Linked DNA regions of Mus musculus. The protein of the gene in region 2 purifies or fractionates together with the protein of the main gene of each other region. This does not show direct contact. Links are inferred from orthologs where the notes say so. Each region holds a gene or a part of one and is shown on either strand. Other genes may lie near its edges.

The links.
Region 1: the proteins of Ss18 (region 2) and Smarcc1 purify together in Homo sapiens (affinity purification with mass spectrometry; 4 studies listed by BioGRID and IntAct, counting the BioPlex papers as one, with this or other methods). This does not show direct contact. The link is inferred for Mus musculus from reciprocal best matches to the Homo sapiens genes SS18 and SMARCC1.
Region 3: the proteins of Ss18 (region 2) and Arid1a purify together in Homo sapiens (affinity purification with mass spectrometry; 7 studies listed by BioGRID and IntAct, counting the BioPlex papers as one, with this or other methods). This does not show direct contact. The link is inferred for Mus musculus from reciprocal best matches to the Homo sapiens genes SS18 and ARID1A.
Region 4: the proteins of Ss18 (region 2) and Dpf2 purify together in Homo sapiens (affinity purification with mass spectrometry; 4 studies listed by BioGRID and IntAct, counting the BioPlex papers as one, with this or other methods). This does not show direct contact. The link is inferred for Mus musculus from reciprocal best matches to the Homo sapiens genes SS18 and DPF2.
Region 5: the proteins of Ss18 (region 2) and Smarcd1 purify together in Homo sapiens (affinity purification with mass spectrometry; 5 studies listed by BioGRID and IntAct, counting the BioPlex papers as one, with this or other methods). This does not show direct contact. The link is inferred for Mus musculus from reciprocal best matches to the Homo sapiens genes SS18 and SMARCD1.

What each region holds. Positions count from the first base shown.
Region 1 is NC_000075.6:110,130,715-110,134,823, forward strand, and holds the start of Smarcc1 (SWI/SNF complex subunit SMARCC1), read left to right. Parts: upstream 1-1,309; 5' UTR 1,310-1,402; coding exon 1,403-1,594; intron 1,595-4,109. UniProt on the Homo sapiens protein: Involved in transcriptional activation and repression of select genes by chromatin remodeling (alteration of DNA-nucleosome topology).
Region 2 is NC_000084.6:14,680,115-14,684,414, forward strand, and holds the start of Ss18 (protein SSXT), read right to left. Parts: upstream 2,801-4,300; 5' UTR 2,622-2,800; coding exon 2,553-2,621; intron 1-2,552. UniProt on the Homo sapiens protein: Appears to function synergistically with RBM14 as a transcriptional coactivator. Isoform 1 and isoform 2 function in nuclear receptor coactivation. Isoform 1 and isoform 2 function in general transcriptional coactivation.
Region 3 is NC_000070.6:133,751,186-133,755,219, reverse strand, and holds the start of Arid1a (AT-rich interactive domain-containing protein 1A), read left to right. Parts: upstream 1-1,234; 5' UTR 1,235-1,608; coding exon 1,609-2,751; intron 2,752-4,034. UniProt on the Homo sapiens protein: Involved in transcriptional activation and repression of select genes by chromatin remodeling (alteration of DNA-nucleosome topology).
Region 4 is NC_000085.6:5,910,072-5,914,144, forward strand, and holds the start of Dpf2 (zinc finger protein ubi-d4), read right to left. Parts: upstream 2,801-4,073; 5' UTR 2,702-2,800; coding exon 2,670-2,701; intron 1-2,669. UniProt on the Homo sapiens protein: Plays an active role in transcriptional regulation by binding modified histones H3 and H4. Is a negative regulator of myeloid differentiation of hematopoietic progenitor cells. Might also have a role in the development and maturation of lymphoid cells.
Region 5 is NC_000081.6:99,700,819-99,705,086, reverse strand, and holds the start of Smarcd1 (SWI/SNF-related matrix-associated actin-dependent regulator of chromatin subfamily D member 1), read right to left. Parts: upstream 2,801-4,268; 5' UTR 2,766-2,800; coding exon 2,589-2,765; exon of another isoform or gene 2,297-2,588; intron 1,982-2,296; coding exon 1,794-1,981; exon of another isoform or gene 1,585-1,793; intron 1,497-1,584; coding exon 1,454-1,496; exon of another isoform or gene 1,350-1,453; coding exon 1,227-1,349; intron 757-1,226; coding exon 634-756; intron 1-633. UniProt on the Homo sapiens protein: Involved in transcriptional activation and repression of select genes by chromatin remodeling (alteration of DNA-nucleosome topology).

The DNA.
Region 1 (4,109 bases), on a different chromosome or scaffold from region 2:
GTTCCAGAATTGAATTTAGGTCGTCACTATTGGCATTACCCGCTGAGCCATTTCACTGCCCTGCTCCATTTTGTTGTTGAGACAGGGTCTCTGTATGTAGTCTTGGAACTCACTATGGTAACAAGCTGGCCTAAAAGTCAGCGACCTCCTGAGTGCTAGGATTACTACCACCCAGAATTAGGTATGGGTGATGTATGTGTGCCACAGTACACAGTCAGGGTGTAACTTCGTGAAGAATTTCACCTTCTACTTTTATGAGAATTCTGGGGTTCCAACTCAGGTTGCCAAGCTTTTTAAGAACTGAGCCAAATACATAACCTGAGACAACTAGTCTCTTTTGTTTGTTCAGGCAGGGAGGGTTTCCTGTAGCCCTGGTTGTCCTGGCTTTCAAGCTCTATGTACATCAGGCAGGCCTGGAACTCAGAAAACCTCCTGCTTCTACCTTATGGGATTAAAGGCGTGCACACTACATCTTCTAGGCTATCTCCATTTTTTTTTAAGGTCTATAAACTCATCACACCTCCTCACTTGGAGCTTCGTGAACATATCATGTTCACGTTTCCAATACAGCCAATACATTGTTTACAATGTAAACTTTCAGCCTTCATATAGCCTTCAAATGTAGATAAAGCGTCCAGTTCCCAACGCGGATGATAAAAACACCAGGTTGAAGAGAGAGCTACAAAAAAAACCGTTGGGTAATTGTGATCACTTGTTCACTCAGGGACTGGTTTTCTGGAATACTTTTAAAGTGATGAATTTGAGAGAGTGCGAATCACAAAGGAAGATAATGTCCAGGTCGCAGAAGTAGCTGGAGCTAGGCCGACTAAGCAGAAACCATCTGATGTGGTTCGAGAAACATTAATGAAGCCCCAAGAAAGACTAGGTCTTTAATGCAGGTCCCCAAACCGACGCGGCCTCCGGGACTAGCAGGAATTGCTTACTAGCGCTCGGGGGCGGGTACGCGGGGGGGTGGGGTGGGGTGGGGCTCGGCTCGCACTGCACACCCTAGACCGCTTTTTCTAGTAGAGATACAGAACCTCCTTGAGATTGTTGACCGCCTAACGAATAGACAAACGGGGCCCGGAAGAGTCATTCGTAGTGTCTACCAACAGCAGAGGCTGAGGCTCAGTTCCGAGAGACCAGAGGAAAAGGCGGGCAGCCTCAGTCCGTAGGGGACTACCGGCGTGCTGCGCATGCGTACGCCCGCTCTCAGTGCCTGTTCGTTGCAGCTTTAGGGTCCAGAAGGGGCGTGGCCGCGCCTCGGCGCCGGAAGAGGGTTGGCTGGGCGGGGCTAGGAGGAGGAGGAGGAGGTGGCATCTGCGCGCGCGCGCGCGGGTGCGAACGGGAAACGCCGCGAGGGCCAGGCTAGGCCGGGCGGTAGACACGACGGACGGTGACTATGGCCGCGACAGCGGGTGGCGGTCCGGGAGCAGCAGCAGGCGCCGTGGGTGCAGGGGGTGCGGCGGCGGCCTCCGGGCTGGCCGTGTACCGGAGGAAGGACGGGGGCCCGGCCAGCAAGTTTTGGGAGAGCCCGGACACGGTGTCCCAGCTAGATTCGGTGCGAGTCTGGCTGGGCAAGCACTACAAGAAGGTGGGTTCGCGCGCGCCCGTGGGGACCGAGGAGCCACGCGACGGGGGCTGATGGTGGCTGCCCGCTTCGCATGTCTGGGGCCGCCCCTCCCCCCCCCCCTCCGCGCGCCACGAGGGACAACAAAGGCCGGCTCGGCGCTTGCCACGCCCCCGCGGGCGACTAGGCACGCGGCGACCTGGCCCCAGCTGCTGGCTCTCTGGGGCCCACGTACTCGCGTGGGAAGCCCCATCTCACTCTCTCTTATGTGCAGGAGAGGTGGAACTGGACAGAGTCGCAGAGCGTGTGTTTCTGTTCTTTTGTTAGCTGCCTTAGGTGTGTGAACAAAGAGCCCATCCTAATAAAAGTATCTTGAAGTTTTGTTTAGAGACCAGTTGTTGAGCGTCTAGGTAACTAAGGGCTTGCTACCCTATGTGGATTAGTAGGGGACCTTGGATGACTGGCCTTGTGGATTCATGTAGGTTTAAACCTTGTATTGTACAATTGATATAGAACTATTAAAAGTGTTGGTTTTCCACTTCATTGTACTTTAGGTGGTGTGTAAGGATGTGAGTACAAGCGAGAGTTAGGTTTTTTTGTTTGTTTGTTTTGTTTTTCGTAGCCCTGGCTGTCCTGGAACTCACTTTGTAGACCAGGCTGGCCTCGAACTCAGAAATCCTCCTGCCTCTGCCTCCCAAGTGCTGGGATTAAAGGCATGCGCCACCACACCTGGCGAGAGCTTAGTTTTTATCATATATATATTTTTTGCAATGTTAATTTTTTTGGGAAAAGTGTGTTTCCCGTACTTTAGAATGCAAATTCTGCTGAGTCAGTTGTTTTACAAAAGTCGTGAATTAACCCTTTGTTGACACTTTAAAAAGAATTACAACTATTTACTTTGGAGGGGTACACACAACTCCTGTTTTCATGTCCACTTAAGCAAATCAATTCTCCTCGAACACCATACTGGTCCAGGAATTGAACTTAGATACTTTTTTTTTTTTCAGAGACAGGGTTTCTCTGTATAGCCCTGGCTGTCCTGGAACTCACTTTGTAGACCAGGCTGGCCTCGAACTCAGAAATCAGCCTGCCTCTGCCTCCCAAGTGCTGGGATCAAAGGCATGGGCCACCCGGCTTGAATTTAGATCTTGATGCTTGTGACAAGTGCTTTTACCCATGTGTTTCCACCTCACTGGCCCCAATAATACCTCTAGTAAAATTTCACCTTTATATAAATGTTGAAAAATGAATCCCTTAGTTGATATGATGAAACATCCAAAACACTTCCTCTACTCTTAAATTAAGTAGTAGTGGTTACCCCATTGCGGACCCAGAGTGGGTGTTGAGATTTACAAGCCTGAAAATGCATCTCCATGTCCTGGCTCATAGTTGACATTTAACTGTCTCACCTTGCATAATAGTTGTTTAGTGTTTGTTGAATGAATGAAAAGTTAAACTAGGACCTGGGGATTTAAATCAGTTTGTAGAGTGTTTGTTTAGCATGGGTTAGGTCTAGAGTTTGAACCCCAGCACCCAGCAGAGAGCCACCAAAACCAGGCATTGGTGGCTCTCTGCTGCAGTCTTTTGAGAGGTGTGAAGTTCAAGGCCATCCTTTGTATGGATGGAAGGTTAAGACAAGCCTCAAGTACCAATATCAGACTCTGTCTTAAAAAACTAAAAAGGGACAGACTAGTCTGAACCATTTCATTCAGTGTCTGCAGCTTAGTGAAGCCTATTTGTGTTTGACAGGGAGCTTGGGTTGCTTTGGTAATACACTGGTGTTTTCAGAAGTGGTCATGTCTCTAAAGCTTTGAAGTCAGAAATACAGTTGACTTATTTCTGCTTGGTGTACCTTACACTTTGTCCTCTTCCTCCTCTCCCTGCTCTCCCGTTTCTGACACCATCTCACTATTTAGTCCAGACTAGCCTCAGACTTAGAAAGAGCTGCCTCCTGTCTTCGCCTAGGATTGTAGGCATGGGCCACACACTGGTTCATTAATTATTTCTATTGCATTTTACAGTGTATTTAGGACATACAAATGTAAAGGTTTCTTTGTGTGCGGAACATGCATGTCAGTGTCCACAGAGGCCAGCAGAGGGCGTCTCATTCCTTGGACCCGGATGTAAACTGTATTATCCGGGTGCTGGGACCTGAACTCTGGTCTTTGGGAAGAACAGTAAGCAGTCTTTTATCCTCTGAGCCATCTTCAGCACTAGAACAGAAATTTAAATATCAGCAATTAATATGAAACAAGTGAGACATGAAAGGTCTCTTTTCTTTCTGCCTGGGCTATAAGACTTCACTTCCAAAAACAAAACAAAAAACCAAAACTCACTGCTCCGAAGCCCCAGAGCTCCTTTTGTGGGCCGCAGATCCTGCTTTCAAGTCTAGAGTTCTGGGATTATGAGGATGAGCCACAGTGGTGGACTCAAAAAAAAAAAAAAGTTTTGGTTTTAGTTTCTCTGTGTGGTTGTTTTGCCTGCGTGCATGTCTCTGTACCAGAGTTTGTCTGGTGTATGTCTAATCTAGAAGAGAGCT
Region 2 (4,300 bases):
AAAAGAAAAAAAATCTTACTTTGTGTATGTGGAATGATATCACATTTAATCAATTCTGTTTAATACCTATCTCAATTATTCTCTTTGAAACTCAGAATGGAAAAAGGGTGTTTCTTTTGACTTATTTATCATCAGTGTGTATTAATCATCTCACTCACACACACACACACACACACACACACACACACACACACTCAGTGCTGTGGTGTGAGGTCAGAGGGCAATTCTGTAGCACTGGCTCTCTCCCTGAACCCAGCTGAACCATCTTCTAGGCCATTGTTTTGGGGTGTCTTGTTTTAAATACAGAAACATTTCATTACCTCTCCAATCTGTAACAGTAGTTTCTGCTAGTTGAAAGTGGACTCGCAGTTGCTACTGGAGCATTCTCATGCTCTAGTGTGAAGGAGGAAATCTCTTCTCCAGAAGGAAACAAACACAGGAGCAGTGCTGCCCAAGGGCCCTGAGGTAATGGCTCAGCTTCTTTTCTAACTGTGCAGATTCATGATTCTCCAAAAGGACACATAGCAATCATCTCTATGCATGTAATTATTAATAGAAGTTTGTAAAATAAACTGAGATATCTCAGAAAGTCCAAAAACCATAAGATTATCATTTTAGCATCTTATAACAATCTAAGCAACCTTGGTTTTGAGGATTAAGTAATTCATCTATGCCAATGGCACTACAGAAGAAAACCTACATGGAGTCCCTAGCACACTATCCAAGTTTGTAGGAGCTTAAGATTTAGGGGGGCATCCTAAGCATGCCCCACCTTTCAAAATTTCATGACAAAACCAAAAATCATTTAACGTGATTTTCAATTAAAAACAAAATCCAATTACCATGAATTGGTATTTCCGGCACATTTATCATTATCTTCGATTGCTAAGAGCAAACACTTTTCTAAAGTGTGCCTCTTAAATATAATCACTATATACAAAAAAATTCTTTTGTTTTTTATTGTTGTTACTATTTTTGTTGTTGTTATCAAGATAGGGTGTAGCGTCGGCTGCCCTGGAACTAACTCTGTGGACCAGGCTGGCCTCAATCTCACAGAAATCTGCCTGCCCCTGAAGGCAGTGCCATCAATTCAATACTCAACCAAGGAATCCACGACACATGAAACAACCCCAACCATCTGCCTCCTGTCTAAACCAACATCTGACACTGCAAACAGAACTTGAATTGTAATGCTTTTGGGGGGCTGGAGAGATGGTTCAGAGGACAAGAGCACTTAATGCTCTTGCTAAGGACCTGGCTGTGGTTTCCAGCCCCCACAGGAGGCTATTAACTCCATTTCAGGGAACTGATGTTTCTTCTGACCTCCCCAAGCACTGCATGCACATGACATACACAGACGTATAAAATAACAAAAGAATTTTAATCCATTTTCACTTTTCATCTGAGAATGAAATATAACCAGTTAGCACCTAGATCAATCACTCACGATAAGCAACTAATAGAAAGAAAAAAAAAAGAAAGAAAGAAAGAAAAAAAAACTCTACTGAGAAAAAGGAAAGCGCCAGACTTTTTCTAGAGTTCAAAAAGAATCCTCTTAGAAACATTCTTTCTGCACGTGTGTGCTTAAAGAAAGCTGTTCACCAGACTACTGGCTCAACCTGGCACTCTAAAGAAACCAACTGCGTTTCCAGACACTGCCAGGCGGGTTTCTTCAAAGAAAAATAAAGCAACAGTTGGGCAAATGTCAAATGCCACACTACAAAGACCCTGACAGTAAACAGAAACCGATGGCCGTAACCCACAGGTCTTCAAGGGTGCCCCGATTGGTACTACAGGTTGACTTGCTCCCCTTAACCTTACTCCGGGGCAGGGAACAAGATCGAAATACTCAGGGCAAGGCAAACTGCTAAACTTAACAGGAGGCGACTTTCAAAAGTCTACCATGCTGAGAGCTAAATAGTGCCTTGCTTTTAGACACTGGCTTAGAGGATAATAAAGAACCTTTGTGTCTCCAGTTGGCAGCCCCGGAGCGGCGACTGGGTGGCACTCTCTGAGGACCCAGCTCCCAGCGCTTCGATCGTGACTTCATGCAAACCGCCCGCCTGTCGCTGTGGACGGCCAACAGCGCTAGGCCAGCGAGAGCAGGCTCGCCCTCCGGAACCCCAGCGCCCGCCCTGCGCGCTCAGGCGCATCTATCTGCTGCAGACCGGAACAGATCCGGGGTGCGATCCCGGGAGCGACCCCGGGGAGCCCCGGAGGCCCCCCGGCTCCTTTCTCGCCTGCCCCGAGACATTGCGGAAGGTTCTCAAGTTCTCCGAAGAGGGCCTCAACTCCGAGGAGTTTGCGGCGCAGCACTCTCGGGTCGGGCTTCCGCGCGTGGGGTCCCGGCGGGGCGACGCCGGAGTCTCGGGGCCGCTTCCTTCACGGCCCCGCGGCGCGAGGCCACCCGGCCCGCGGGGAAATCGGGCGGCGGTTGCCAGCGCTTTTGTGCGGGCAGAGCAGGCGCCAAAGGGCTCCGTCGGAAAGCCGGCGTCAGCCCGCCCCCACGCCACCCCGCCTCGGCCCGCGTCCCGGCGCCTCTCCCGGCTCACCTTCTGGATGGCGGCGGGCGTGATTTCGCCCTTGCCCCGCTGCCTCGGGGCTGCGAACGCCACAGACATGTTGCCGCCGAGCCCGCGATCAGCGAGTCCCGAGCGCTCCAGGGCCCGCGGAGCTGGGGGCCCGACGCCCGCCTCCGGGCAGTTCCACCTTAGGGCGCGCGGTGGGGGGAGGATGCTCCCGGGCCGCGTCCCTCGCTGGCCGGCTTGGCCTTAACGCTGAGCCGCAGCTCCCAGCAAGGAGTGTAAGACGCTCACTGCTGCCGGTGCGGCTCGAGCCCCCGGTCCCGCCGCGGTCCGCCCCGCTGCCCTCACGCGCTCACCGGCCGCACCCCCGCGTCCCTGCGCTGATGGTAGCGCCGCGCCGGCCGCCTCTGCCCGGACGCTCAGGAAATGGTCCCGCCACGGCGGGAGGGAGCGGCTGGGCCGCGCTGTCACAGGAAACGCGGGGCCCGCCCGCCACACTGCCCCAACTGTGCCCTCGACCCTCTGGGGAAGAGGCTCGCCCGGGCGGCCGCCCAGAGGGAAAGAGGACAGTCGGGGCTCCGGAGCGTCTACCGGGTCAGCACAGAGAACGCGGATTCGCTAGTTTAAATGGCTCCCTGCGCTCCACGTGCGCACCTCGGAGTGCACGCTCGTCTAGTCTAGCCTAACAGTGGAGAGAACCCCGGACTCGGAGTTTGCCTAAAGATAGACCCTGCCCACACTTGTGGATCTACTTGATCTGACTTGGGGCCTCTGGAAGGAAGCTGTGAAAAGCCACCCTCTTCTCCAGTTAAATACTTAGTGCTTAATTAGGCCCAGGCTTCAAGTCAGTATGAAGGGAATAAAGCCAACAGCTGCAAATTCAAAAGGAACACGTTGCTGTGGATTAATTCTGCAACATAGACTTCCTAGTCGCACAAAAGAGAAGTTTATGTGAATCGTTACTTAACATCACTGATGCTCAAAAATTAGTGCCTAACTGGATGTCAGGGGTGCTCGCCTTTAATCTCAGCACACAGGAGGCAGAGGCAAGCAGATCTCTGTGAGTTCAAGGCCAGCCTGCTCTACAGAGTGAGTTTCAGGACAGTTAGAGCTACACTGACGGCCACTGTCTCACAAGACCAAAAAATTAGTGTCCAAAATGTTAATAAAGTAAAAAATAAACGTATTTTTAAATGTTATTTCAAATGTCACGGGTCAGTTGCGATTCTGGGGTGTCAGTGCCCTATACGGGTGGTAGAACTGACCAGCTGCAAAGGAAACTCTCAAAGATTTCATGCTGTTTAATTATAGAAAAGATTTACAAAAAGTAAACAAAACCAGATATGCATATAAGTAAAATTTAACGGTTAGCAAACAAGGACAGCACTACAGGCTAGTCGTGTGCCTTAAGTTCTGAACTCTCTGTTGTATTTAAAGAAACCTAAAGGGTGAAGACTAGGCTTTCAAGATGGCTCATCTGGTAAGGTGCTGTGGCCAAGCTTGACATCCTGAGTACAGTCTGTGTGACCAGCATGGTGGAAGGAGAGAACCAACTCAGTCAAATTGTATTCTGACCTCCACATGTGGTTCCCCTACGCTGTGCATATGAAATAGTGCGCGTGCGCACGCGCGTACACACACACACACACACACACACACACACACACACACACGATAGAAGATGAAGACTCTGGCCATTCTAACATCAAAGGATGGAACCTTCTCTCTCCCTTACAATGGTAACTGTTCTTGAGAAGTAACTTCTTGTCTTTCAC
Region 3 (4,034 bases), on a different chromosome or scaffold from region 2:
TTTGCCTGGAGGACTGTCTTAAGCCCCCAACGCATCAGTAGCCACCATTTTAAGAGAAGTGGTGGGATGACCACGTTTGATTTTCAAACCTCCTGACACTGATCTGATCCGGTGGTTGGATTTGTTCACAACGTAAGTGCCTTTCTTTTCTCTTTTCCTCCTTTTCTCTGGCTAAGTAGACAAGATGCGGCTTCGGCCACTCACTCCACTTTTTATAGCCACACACTTCTGCCCTCTGACTTTAAGTGACCTGGGCAGTCCCCTCCCTTCAGTCTGTTGGTAAAATGGGGGGGGGGGAGATAATCCAGACCTCATGCCCCCAGGGCCTTGTCAGAGAGGGCTAATGAGGGCAGGGCACGGGAGAACCGATAGTTTGAACAATGGTCAGTCCTCCTTTGGGGCTAGCCAAAGGGGGGGAAAAGCAGGGCTCGCTCAGCTGGGTCTCTAGAGCAGGTCTGCAAAAGGCTTTGAAGAAGAAAAGTGCTGCGGAGGTGCTAAGTCGCAGCCAAGAGCCCAGGCCCGGTGCCAGGGGGTCAGGTCCCGGCCGCGGCGGCCGCGGTTTCGGGCTCAGGCCAATTTTGCAGGCGCGGGTAAAGTTCACGCGGCCCGCTCCCTTTGGAGCGGCCGGGAGGGGACAGGCCAGGCTGGGAACGCGGCGAGCGAGGCGGCGCAGGCTCCGGAGGCGCGGGCTCCGGGCCGGGTTTTCCCCGAAGCCTTCGGCGGCGGCGCAGCCGAGCGAAAGAGGCTGAGGGCTTGCCGCCGCCGCCGCGGCTCCTTCTCTCCCCTCCTCCTTTGTGAGGGGAAGGGAGCGAGTCCATTCCACGGCCTGCGCCCGCTCCGCGCTCCAGTCCTGGTTTTTCAGGCGGCCGCGACGGCGCTGGGTAAAATGGCAGTGCTGAGCCTCGTGTCGGAGTGAGGGGGACTCGGAGGAGAGTGGGGCGCTCTAGCTGCTCAGTCCCGCCGCCCGCCCGCCCGCTCTCTCGTTCGCTCTCTCGCCCGCCCGCCCGCCGCCAAGCAGCAGCCTCGGCCCGAGCCGCGGCCGGGGAGGCGAGGCAGGGCGCCCGCCAGAGCAGCGCTCCTACTCTGCCTCCCGGCGCCCCGTCCGCCGCCGCGCGCCCTCCAGCCCGCCCGCCCGCCCGCCCGTCCCGGGTCCCCCCTCCCCCCCCGCTCCCTCCCTCCTTTCCCGCCCCCTCCCCCTCGCCTCCCTCCCTCCCTCCCTCCTCCTTTCTCCGGCAGCAGAAAGCGGAGAGTCACAGCGGGGCCAGGCCCTGGGGAGCGGAGCCTCCACCGCCCCCCTCATTCCCAGGCAAGGGCTTGGGGGGAATGAGCCGGGAGAGCCGGGTCCCGAGCCGCCAGAGCCCGGAGCAGCTGAGCCGCCGGCGCCTCGGCTGCCGCCGCCGCCTCCTCCTCCTCCTCCGCCGCCAGCCCGGAGCCTGAGCCGGCGGGGCGGGGGGGAGAGGAGCGAGCGCAGCGCAGCAGCGGAGCCCCGCGAGGCCCGCCCGGGCGGGTGGGGAGGGCAGCCCGGGGGACTCGGCCCCGGGGCGGGGTGGGAGGGGGGAGAAGACGAAGACAGGGCCGGGTCTCTCCGCGGACGAGACAGCGGGGATCATGGCCGCGCAGGTCGCCCCCGCCGCCGCCAGCAGCCTGGGCAACCCGCCGCCGCCGCCCTCGGAGCTGAAGAAAGCCGAGCAGCAACAGCGGGAGGAGGCGGGGGGCGAGGCGGCGGCGGCAGCGGCCGAGCGCGGGGAAATGAAGGCAGCCGCCGGGCAGGAGAGCGAGGGCCCCGCCGTGGGGCCGCCGCAGCCGCTGGGAAAGGAGCTGCAGGACGGGGCCGAGAGCAATGGGGGTGGCGGCGGCGGCGGAGCCGGCAGCGGCGGCGGGCCCGGCGCGGAGCCGGACCTGAAGAACTCGAACGGGAACGCGGGCCCTAGGCCCGCCCTGAACAATAACCTCCCGGAGCCGCCCGGCGGCGGCGGCGGCGGCGGCAGCAGCAGCAGCGACGGGGTGGGGGCGCCTCCTCACTCGGCCGCGGCCGCCCTGCCGCCCCCAGCCTACGGCTTCGGGCAAGCCTACGGCCGGAGCCCGTCTGCCGTCGCCGCCGCGGCGGCCGCCGTCTTCCACCAACAACATGGCGGACAACAAAGCCCTGGCCTGGCAGCGCTGCAGAGCGGCGGCGGCGGGGGCTTGGAGCCCTACGCCGGGCCCCAGCAGAACTCGCACGACCACGGCTTCCCCAACCACCAGTACAACTCCTACTACCCCAACCGCAGCGCCTACCCCCCGCCTCCCCAGGCCTACGCGCTGAGCTCCCCGAGAGGTGGCACTCCGGGCTCCGGCGCGGCGGCGGCCGCCGGCTCCAAGCCGCCTCCCTCCTCCAGCGCCTCTGCCTCCTCGTCGTCTTCGTCCTTCGCACAGCAGCGCTTCGGGGCCATGGGGGGAGGCGGCCCCTCAGCGGCCGGCGGGGGAACTCCCCAGCCCACCGCCACCCCCACCCTCAACCAACTGCTCACGTCGCCCAGCTCGGCCCGTGGCTACCAGGGCTACCCCGGGGGCGACTACGGCGGCGGGCCCCAGGACGGGGGCGCGGGCAAAGGCCCGGCGGACATGGCCTCGCAGTGCTGGGGGGCTGCGGCGGCGGCGGCGGCGGCGGCAGCGGCCGTCTCGGGAGGGGCCCAACAAAGGAGCCACCACGCGCCCATGAGCCCCGGGAGCAGCGGCGGCGGGGGGCAGCCGCTCGCCCGGACCCCTCAGGTACACAGCCGAGCGGGGAGGGGGCTGGGGCCAGCGGGGCCGGGGGGTGGGCTGGGTGGCGGCTGCGGGGAAGCAGGCCCCGGCCGTGGGCTCCCCTCGGGCTTGGGCCCCCACTGCCGGGGAGCTGCCATTGTCTGGCTCTTCTCTCTTAAAATGGCTGCCTGTCTGCCTTCCTCTCCTTCCCTCGATCAGCCTTTGTGTGGGGCTTTTCCAGGGGTGTCTGTCCGGTTTCTCCTCCTCCGCTGGTCCTTTCGAACTCTGGGGGTCTCCAGGGGGGTGCAGAGCAAAGTGTGCCTGGAAGGGCCAGGCCCGGTCGCGGGGGGGGGTGCTGGGGGTTCAGGTTAGGGGTGTAGGCAGTGTCATGAATCCGGGAGAAAGAAGCAACGTTTTCTTGCTCACCTGCCGCTCCTCTGATCCCCCTTGCCTTCCTCTAGGCCGTTCCCCAATATACGCTTTTAAAGAGTGGCCCCTAGGGCTCGGGGGACCTCGGGGGAGAGCTGGGGCCTGCTTGGGGGCAGCTCGAGGCCGACTGTGGTTCGCTCTGGGCCGCCGGGGCCACCTCTTGCCTCAGTCTCCGGCGGCCCAGTGGCCTGGGCTTCTCTCTGAAGTGCTGGTAAACACAGAGTGATTGGAGTAGTAAGTGCAGATTGCTTTGGTTTGGGATTTGAATTATGGAGGTAAAATCCTTCTGTCAAAGCCAGGAGACAGTTGGTCTTAGGTTGACATCCTATCTGTGATCTGATTGGCTCCCCATCTTCTGCTCTTGGCCATTTATAATTGCCTCTGATGTAATGGTACAACAATCCTGATGAGCTCATAAACTTTTACACTCTGCTTTTCTGCCAGTGATAACCCAAACCTTCGCTGCCACTATCCGCCTTTTATTCCAGAGCTGAAATTGGCTGTGACCTTGAGGAGGGAGGTTTAAGCAGCAATACTGTATCAGCAGGAGCAGAGTCCCAGACAGGCTGCCCTTGTTACATTGTGCCTGAAACAAAAGAGGAGGCGATGGCATTTTGCTTGCACCTTGGATTTATTTTGCTTGTTATGTTTTATGCAGTCTGAAATAGATTCTGTGTTGTTGGAACAGTAGCTGAGTTTTTCTCTACAATGGGTTTGCTGTTTGTTTTCGTTTTTGTTACTTTCCTGATGGTATAAATGAGTTCTTTGATGGCGCTGAAGATACATTTGTCTTGAGTAGTTTTTGACACTGTTCACTTATACTGTTGAGTTACAGAACTGAAATTATTTTACTGGCTATTTTTTTATGAAAAGCAAATGTA
Region 4 (4,073 bases), on a different chromosome or scaffold from region 2:
GATGAAGAGAATAGGGATAAGAATGCATGAAAAGCAGGAAGGAGTAAGGTCTCAGTGTCTAATGCTATTACTAAAGCTGTATCAACAAGCCCTAATGTAGACTCTGATGGGGACTTTCACTGAGCAGTCACAAGAGACCACTGCACAGCTTAGTTTGTTCCCAGCAAACACAGCACACACAGCAACACTACAAGTACAGCCTGAGTGGGTTCAGTGAGCAGGAATAACTATAATTAAGGGATAAATGTGCTGGAGAGCACAGCACAGAAGAGAGCAGGCTCACACTGGCTCGCCTTTAGGAGGCAGCCACGTCCTTACCACACAGGAAAATTGGATAAACAAGGCTGACTGCAGCAGCTCCTTTGTTTCTGCTGATGGGAATTGATACTGACACTGGAAGTCAAACGGAAGAAAGGACCAGCCCTGTGGGGCTGAAGACTGCAAAGTCAGAGTGCGGAGCCTGAGGGAGGCCTGGAGGGATGACTGGAACGTCCAGTCGGGGCCCCTGCAGGCCAGGTAAGATTCTAGAAGGCCAAGCAGGTGCTCTAGTAGGAAAGATGGCCGGATAAGACTGCATGAGTGTGTGCATGTGTGCGTGTGAAGAGAGCAAAAGAGGAGAGTGCACACAAATTCAAGACTCTGTAGCAAAAAATTCCAAGCTTCTGTTATTCTATGGATAGCCTTATATAACTCTAGAAAGTTTTAAAAACTAGCTGGCAGCCATGGTTATTTTAACACTAGTATTTACTCTAATAAGACCACTATAAAGACTATTTCAACCATGACGTTGTAATTGAGAAAAACAGAAAATTAAGACAGAAAGTCTTCTCACACGGCAAAAAATGAAAAAGATGAGCTAGTGGTCTTTCCCTCAGTGAGTGATGGCAGCTGACAGAAGACAGAAGCATACTATTTTTTTTAAAAAGGCATCAGAAAGGCATCTTTCCAGAGTGAGAATGGTGTGAGAATCAAAGCCTTCCCTGTAAAGGGAAAGTTCCCCGGGGAACATGTTAGGAGCTTCCAGTCTTCTGCACTACAGCTGAGGAGAAGCAAGTTAGTGCCCCACTGATACTCAGGAACCAGTGAGTTAAAGAGGCATGAAGAGCAATGCTCTATTTAAATGGGCACCCAACACTTAAAATACTACACCAATGGGTTGGCAACTCCATTTTCTGCCAGACCATCTTTCAACATGAAGAACTCCATTGACATCTAATTCTGAAAACCTAGGCAAGCATATTCTTTTAGACAGTAAGATTTTCAGGGTAAAAGCTGTGACTCCTCCTTTCACAGGAAACCTGGGGGGTGGGGAGGGGGCACAGGACAACTCCCCTTCCAGGGGAATAAGGGGGGTCCAACAAAGAGAAAGGCAGGGTAATAAAGACTTAACTTCTGAGTCCAGAAGGAGAACTATAAAATTGGTAAATTAACAGCCTCATTTCTAAATTGAGGGAAATGTCAGCCTGAAGAGAGCCGGGGATCCGGAGTGGGCAGATCACAGAGATAATAGCGTTGGGAGGAGGGGTGGTTGAAATAGGCAGCAGGATGAAGCCAAAAGCGAGATTAAAAAAAAAAAAAAAGCCACAAGAGAAGGCACTTAGCTTAATGGAAGTGGAAAAGCATTTTCAAAGAAAGGGGCTGCAAGCAGCAGGGAAGAAGCAACTTAACCTTAAAAAAAATTTTTTAAAAGCCTCTTGGGACGATTGGGGCTCAGCCCACGACAAAGACAGATAAAGCTGCGAAAAGTCCTCCAGAATGGTTCCAAAACCTTTACTTTGTCATCCAGAATCCAAAAGCTTTGATTGGACAGCTGAAACACTTCAATTTCTCTATCCTTACATCACGTCTAACATGGCCATTAAGGGAAGAGAAGGCCATTCTTAAATCCAATGGGCACCCCGTTCCAAAACTCTGATTCTTCTTCAAGAAGGAAGGAAGAGCCTCATCCAAACATCTCCAACTGAGGGGAAGCGACTAGCAGGCCAGTCCCCGTTCCCGGTGTCGCCCAACAACCGTTTATTTCAGCTCCACTGGAAATCTGACCCGCACAATGGCATCTGGGGGACAGAGAACGCCCACCTCAGGGCTCCTGCGGACTGGAAGGCCATCTGGCTCCGGTCTAGTTCCCCACTCCCCGAAGTTCTGCTCTTGGACCAGTTCTTCCCAAGAACATTTTTAGTTTCGTGGACCCCGGATTTCCCGGTTAACGTCACCAGGCTGCTTAAGTCTTAGGACTCCGCAGGGACGGCGGAGCCTATGGCCCCAGGGACGGCGGTGGGCGGGGAGGGGACCCCGATCTCCTAGTGCCGCCGGCCTCGGCTTGGCGGGACTGACGCGTCTCCAGAGAGGGGCCAGGGACCGTGAGCCTCTCCTTCGCAGCCCGCAGCTCCGCTCGGGGCTCGGCCCGCGAGGAGGACACCCGTCGGGGGCTCCGGTGTGCCCCCCTCCAGTCCTCCACAAGTTTCCAAAAGAAGCCCAGCGCCGTCTCCCGAGTCTCCTGTTGCCCTCCCTCCCAGCAGTCGCACAGCAAGGACTTCCCGGGCATGTCCTTCTCTCTACCTTGTCTCTTCCCGCACCTCCCTCTCTACTCCCAGGTCCTTTACAAGATTTCTGGTACATGAGAGATTAAAAAAGAAAAAAGAGACAAACAAACAAAAAAGACCACTCACAGCTTCACTACATTCTCCACCACAGCCGCCATCTTCCCTGTTCCTCTCCCTCAGGCCGGGAGGCCCCGAAACCTACAACGCGCAGGCGCTAAGCCTTCTCAGGACACAGGGTCCTCGACCCTCTGCGCAGGCGCAGCTAGGGGGTGCGCGCACGCACAGGCCCACGAGAGCGAGCGCTCGAGAACGACCTGTCCTGAAGGAGCCTAGGATCCCAGTGCGCAGGCGCGATTGGAAAACTTACATGCCCTCTGCAGCTCATTCTAGAGATCCGTCTCCCCTCCATTTAGTGACGCCTCAGCTAGGAGATCTGGCTCGGTTGGAAAGTGAGAAAGGTAAGTGAAAAGGCCACGCGGATAGGCTAGAAGTTGCAAACAGTGTCCTGCCTGGCTGGCCGTTAGCCACGAGGTTGACACACAGGGAGAGATTGGTGGGTAGGTAGTGAAAGGTCAGAGTCCCAGTCCTTTAGGTACCTCTGTTCCCAGTCAGCCCATTTTAGAGAATGGAAAGTGAGTGCCCAAAATGGGCTGTTCTTGGGCCTGACTCTCATTCGGACAATTCCTGCCAGTAAACCCGGTCCTTGAACTTCACTGGCACCCACCTCTTCTCTCTTGCTTGCCTCTCTCTCCCTCTTCCTCTCCCTCTCTCTCCCTCTCCCCTCTCCCTCTCTCTCCATTCCTTTGCTCTGTATGTCTGTCTTTGTGTGCGTGCATGTGCCATAGCATATGTGTAAGAGTGAGAGAGCAGCTTGGGGATGTGAGTTCTTTCATTCTACTTTGTACCTGGGGGATGGTGGTCAGGTTGTCAGGCGTGGTGCCCAGAGTCCGTATCTGCTGTGTCATCCCACAAGCCCTTGATTGCTATTACCAAGCCATTCTCCACATTGAAAGTTTTCACTGGTGTGACTAGCCCTCTTAGTTCTATACTATTTATTTCTCCTTCAGTATCGAGTTATGCAAATCCATGAACAAACATGTTTCCCCTTAAAGAAGAAACCAGCCGGGCGGTAGGGGCACACACCTTTAATCCCAGCACTTGGGAGGCAGAGACAGGAGGATTTCTGAGTTTAAGGCCAGCCTGGTCTACAAAGTGAGTTCCAGGACAGCCAGGGCTACACAGAGAAGCACTGTCTCAAAAAAACAAAAGCAAAAACAAAAACAAAACAAGAAGAAGAAGAAACCAACAGGACTCCCTTAAGCCCATTGGCACTGCATCTCAGCCCATTTCTTTTCACTCTTTCTAAGCAGATTTTCATTCGTATTCTGTACTGCCCTGTTTTCCTAGGCTCTCTTCTGCTTACTGAGTGCTTTTGTTCCCACCAGGCCTTTTGAAATAACTCCTAACAAAGTCACCAAACCTCGGTTTCAATGGATTTAGAAGCGATCTACTCTCTGTCCATGTTGGACC
Region 5 (4,268 bases), on a different chromosome or scaffold from region 2:
TTTATCTGGACAGAACACATGACCAGCAAACAGCCCGGACTACCCACAGGAGGCTCTGGTTCTCCAGCAAAAGTGCACTCGAACGAGCTCACTTGCACAGCTAAATATAGTGCCAGAGCGCAGCACTGGGTGAGCATGAGCTGCTGGGTGGAGAGTTTGGGGGTGCTCATTAGTCTGATGATCCCCTTGGAGCAACAGAGAGCCAAGCCTTTGGGGGACTCTCACACTTAAACTGTGGTACCTCCAAGGAAAGTTGGGAACACAGAAATAACCTCAAGGATTCAAGGGAGGAAACATGGCCTCAAAGGCTCAGCACAGATGGGTGGCGGGCAGGGATGGGGACCACTGAGATCATCCACTGATACTGCTAAATCCAAAGGGCAGCATCACCAGGGCCAAGTCAACAGCAACCCAGACCCCAGGACAAAACCGTGCAGCTGAGGAAGCAGACACAAAGGACCATTGTCTTTGTATGCAGGGAACACAGCCCCCCAGCCCCCTCCCGGAAGCTCCCAGCAGGAGTGGTGAACTGCAGTCAGGTTTCCTGCTGAGCACACCGCACCAAGCACCCGGCACAGTGCCACCCCTGCAGCTCCCTCCCTGAGCACCAACCACAGTGGACCTTGAACTCACGTCCTCCAGGAGCCGGCCTTCTACCCGGAGCTCCCAGGAAGCCACCGTCCCTTCCCCATCCTCCGCGTCCGACTTAGCCGGATTGAACGTGTTAGAAATGAAAATTCGCAGCTTCCGTTTTTGCTGAGGAAGGCAGAAACAGGATCGACAGTGGAGCTTCGGTAGTAAAGGTCCCCTAAAACTCCCAAGTGACTCCTCACTGGCTGGCTCACTACAGGGGACAGAGACTCCACTCGGAAGTGTACAGTCCCGACCTGAGCCTGGGTGCAAGTGAATGCACCAGGGGACTAGGGAGACAAAATTGTGCAAAGTGGCATGTTCCCAAGGTAGCAAGTGGTTACAGCAAAAAGCGCGCACGGGTCTATTTCTGTCTAGAGCCCTGGATAGCTCCCCCCCAACCCCCCACCCCCGCCCCTTTCCCTGCCAGCTGTTAGACTCCTATGCTCCTAATGTAATTCCTGGTTTGTAGGCGGAAGGGAAAGATGCAATTTAAATGCCACAGAGAGCTGTGCTGTGCCTTTGATTTTTCCATCCTGAGCTGGAGAGAGACCTGGGCCCCTCCCTTGACCCTCAGCCTGGTACTGTCCTGTTACCTTGATGGGACGTTTCAAGGCCTCCTGGATATCTAGCCGCTTCCTCATAATAGTCTGGTCCAGTTTCCTTTCAAAAGCCAGGAGATCCATGTAGGCCTGTGATTCTGGGACCAGTTCCCGAATCTTAGGAACAGAAAGACAGAGATGGGATGGGGCAGCCCTCGTTCTGACCACTTCTATTCTCAAAGCCACTACCCCTTCAAGGAGACCTCTGCAGCTGCACTCACCCTTTGAGGTAGGATTTTGTCAGCCATCTTCTTTTTCTTTGCACTGTTCAGAATAAATACTGTGATCAGGTTGGGATAGGAACTAGTCAGAACGTGAGCAGTGTTGTGAGCACCTTTGTTTATGGTTACAGCCAAGGCCTACGAAATGACTCTCCATTTAAAGACGCTACCTCTCCCATGACCACCAAAACTCCACTGCATCATGAGGCCCTGTTAGTCCCTGCAGCACCGTTTGGTGCCACAGCGCTGACTTCCTGGTTCTGCATGCCCACCACCAGCATCCTCACAGGCCTCCTCTCCCCCATACCCTTCTTTCCTTCACCCCCAGGGGTCATCTTACTTGTGATTTCGATTTTGGACCGCCTGCTGCTGGACCTGCTGGATCTGTTGAGGTGCAGGTCTCTTGCGGGACTGGTCCATCCCTGACTGGGCCAGACCAGGTCGGACTGAAGGGTTCCCCCCATAGCCAGGAGGTCCCATGGAAGGTCCCTGAGGTGTCATTCGGCTACCTGGCAGCATACCTGGTCTCTACAGAAGGGAGAGGACCCAGAAATGTCATACTTTTCCTTGCTAGCCCCACCAAGAAAGGAAAAATGGTGGCAGCCTGGATTTCAGGAGTGGGTTAGGGCTGGGGGTGGGGTGGGGGGACAACAAGACAGTCCTTTGCTTCTTTGAAATACAGTCACTGGACCTTCAGTGATTTCATTGCATATAGTCTAAAAACTAGATTATACTCAATTTTTCTGGTCTATGCTGGATCTGACTCACCAGACATGTCTAGTCAGCCCTACATTTCTTTTTTTACTAGCTACTGTCTCCTCTAAAGCTGACCTCCATTTGCAGCTATAACAGCCTGGGTATTCCTGGGGACACGGGGGCTGCCCACTCCCCTCTGCATTCCATGACCATCCCAGGGCCCACTTCGCCCACCCTGGTTCCACACTCACTCCTCACATGGAAACAATGCCGCCAGGAGCAGGTAAGGATGCTAACCTCCTCCCCCCCCACACACCTCCACTCCCGGCCCGAGCCCCTCCCCAGGGAGTCCCTCCCACTTCTCCCTCACCCCTGTCAGTCCTCCGCCCTCGCTCGGCCCCGCCCCCGGCCCGCGCGCCCCTCCTCCTGTCCCACTCACCGGATAGGCCGCCCCGGGCATCGGAGAGCGGTACAGCCCTTGACCCGGCGCCGGGCCCATTCGCACGGGAGGCCCGGGAGTTCCGCCCGGGCCCAGAGCAGCCGCCACGCCCGCTCCTCCTGAGGCTCCCGCGCCGCCGCTCGGAGCCACAGACTGGAAACCCGCCCGGGCCGCCATCTTCCCGGAGCCGCCGCTGCAGCTGCACAAAGAACCGGAACCGGAACTCCCCCCGCCCCCCGCGCGCCCCCCGAGCGCCTGGGCTGTTTGTGGGCCCGGCCCGCCGGCGGGCACAGGCGGCTCGGAGCAGCGAGACTACGGGCTAGAGGGGGCGACTAGCGGGAAAGGCGTGCTGACCACTCCCTCCCGCCTTCACGGGCCAGGAGGGAGCACCATAGAGAAGCGGTGTGCGGATAAAGAGGTGCCGGGAGCGAGCGCCTCCACGCGGTTGGAGGACGGTAAAAAGCCTTGCAGAGAGCCCAGCCCATCCGGCTGGCGGCTGGAGTGATGCTTCACCTTGGCCCAGTGCATTTACCTCTCCAAAGCATTCTGGTTGCCTTGCTTTTCGTTCTCCTACTGCTCAGACTCCGGGTACTAAAGAGGAAAACGTGCTGTTTGTTCGTTCGGGAAAAGTAGAACTCGAAGGAGATCAATGTCGTGGCAAAGACAAATCAGCAAGAGAAAACCCATGCCGGGCCGTGGTGGCGCACGCCTTTAATCCCAGCACTTGGGAGGCAGAGGCAGGCGGATTTCTGAGTTCGAGGCCAGCCTGGTCTACAGAGTGAGTTCCAGGACAGCCAGGGATACACAGAGAAGGCTCGGGACCCTTCACCTCAGACGTTTAACTTAAGATTTTGATGCGTTTTTTCCCGTGACTTTTCTCCAAAGAGTCCTGGATATTTGTTGCCATAGATAACTGCTGGTCCCCTGCCCAGTGATCAGACGAATCCTGAGCCTGTCTTTTCCCAGCAGGATCAGTGTTTACCTGATCAAGTATGTAGGGTCTGGTGTAGCCCAATCTAGCGTTAAACTCACTGTGTAATGGAAGATAGCTGCTCCATCTCCTACCTGCTGGAATTACAGGTATAACCACCACACCGGGCTACCACTCAAATTCCCTTACTCTAGTTGTGTGGCTCTCAAGGCAAGCTCCATTCTAAAGGTAACACCCACAGTTTGCAACTAAAAACAGCACTGGGCAGGATAATGGCAGCTCAGGCTTTTAATCCCAGCATTTTGGGAGGCAGGAGGATCTCTGTGAGAGTTCGAGGCCAGCCTGGACTACAGAGCCGTTCCAGGACAGCCAGGGCTACACAGAGAAACCCTGTCTCAAAACAAACCAAACAACAAACAGAAAACCAACACTGAAGAGATGGTTGAAACCCAGTTTATTAGACCAGAGGCATGCGTCACCCAGAGCCCCTCCTGCTGCCCCCCCAGCCAGTGTACATTTCTCAGCTTTGCCCTGTTTCTTTCTGGGGAGTTCTGATCTCTAAACAACTCTTGAGAACCAAGAGGTCTCAAAGATGCCAAAGCCTTGCTCTCTGGCTCCAGGCCAACGTACACAGGTGATCTGCCCATAAGTCCTGTTTTGGGATTAGAGACCAAGAGACAGTGGGGACAGAGAAGGCCAGGAATGAGATTGGAGAGCTGGCCTGGGAAGGGTGTCTGGTTGAGGAGGCC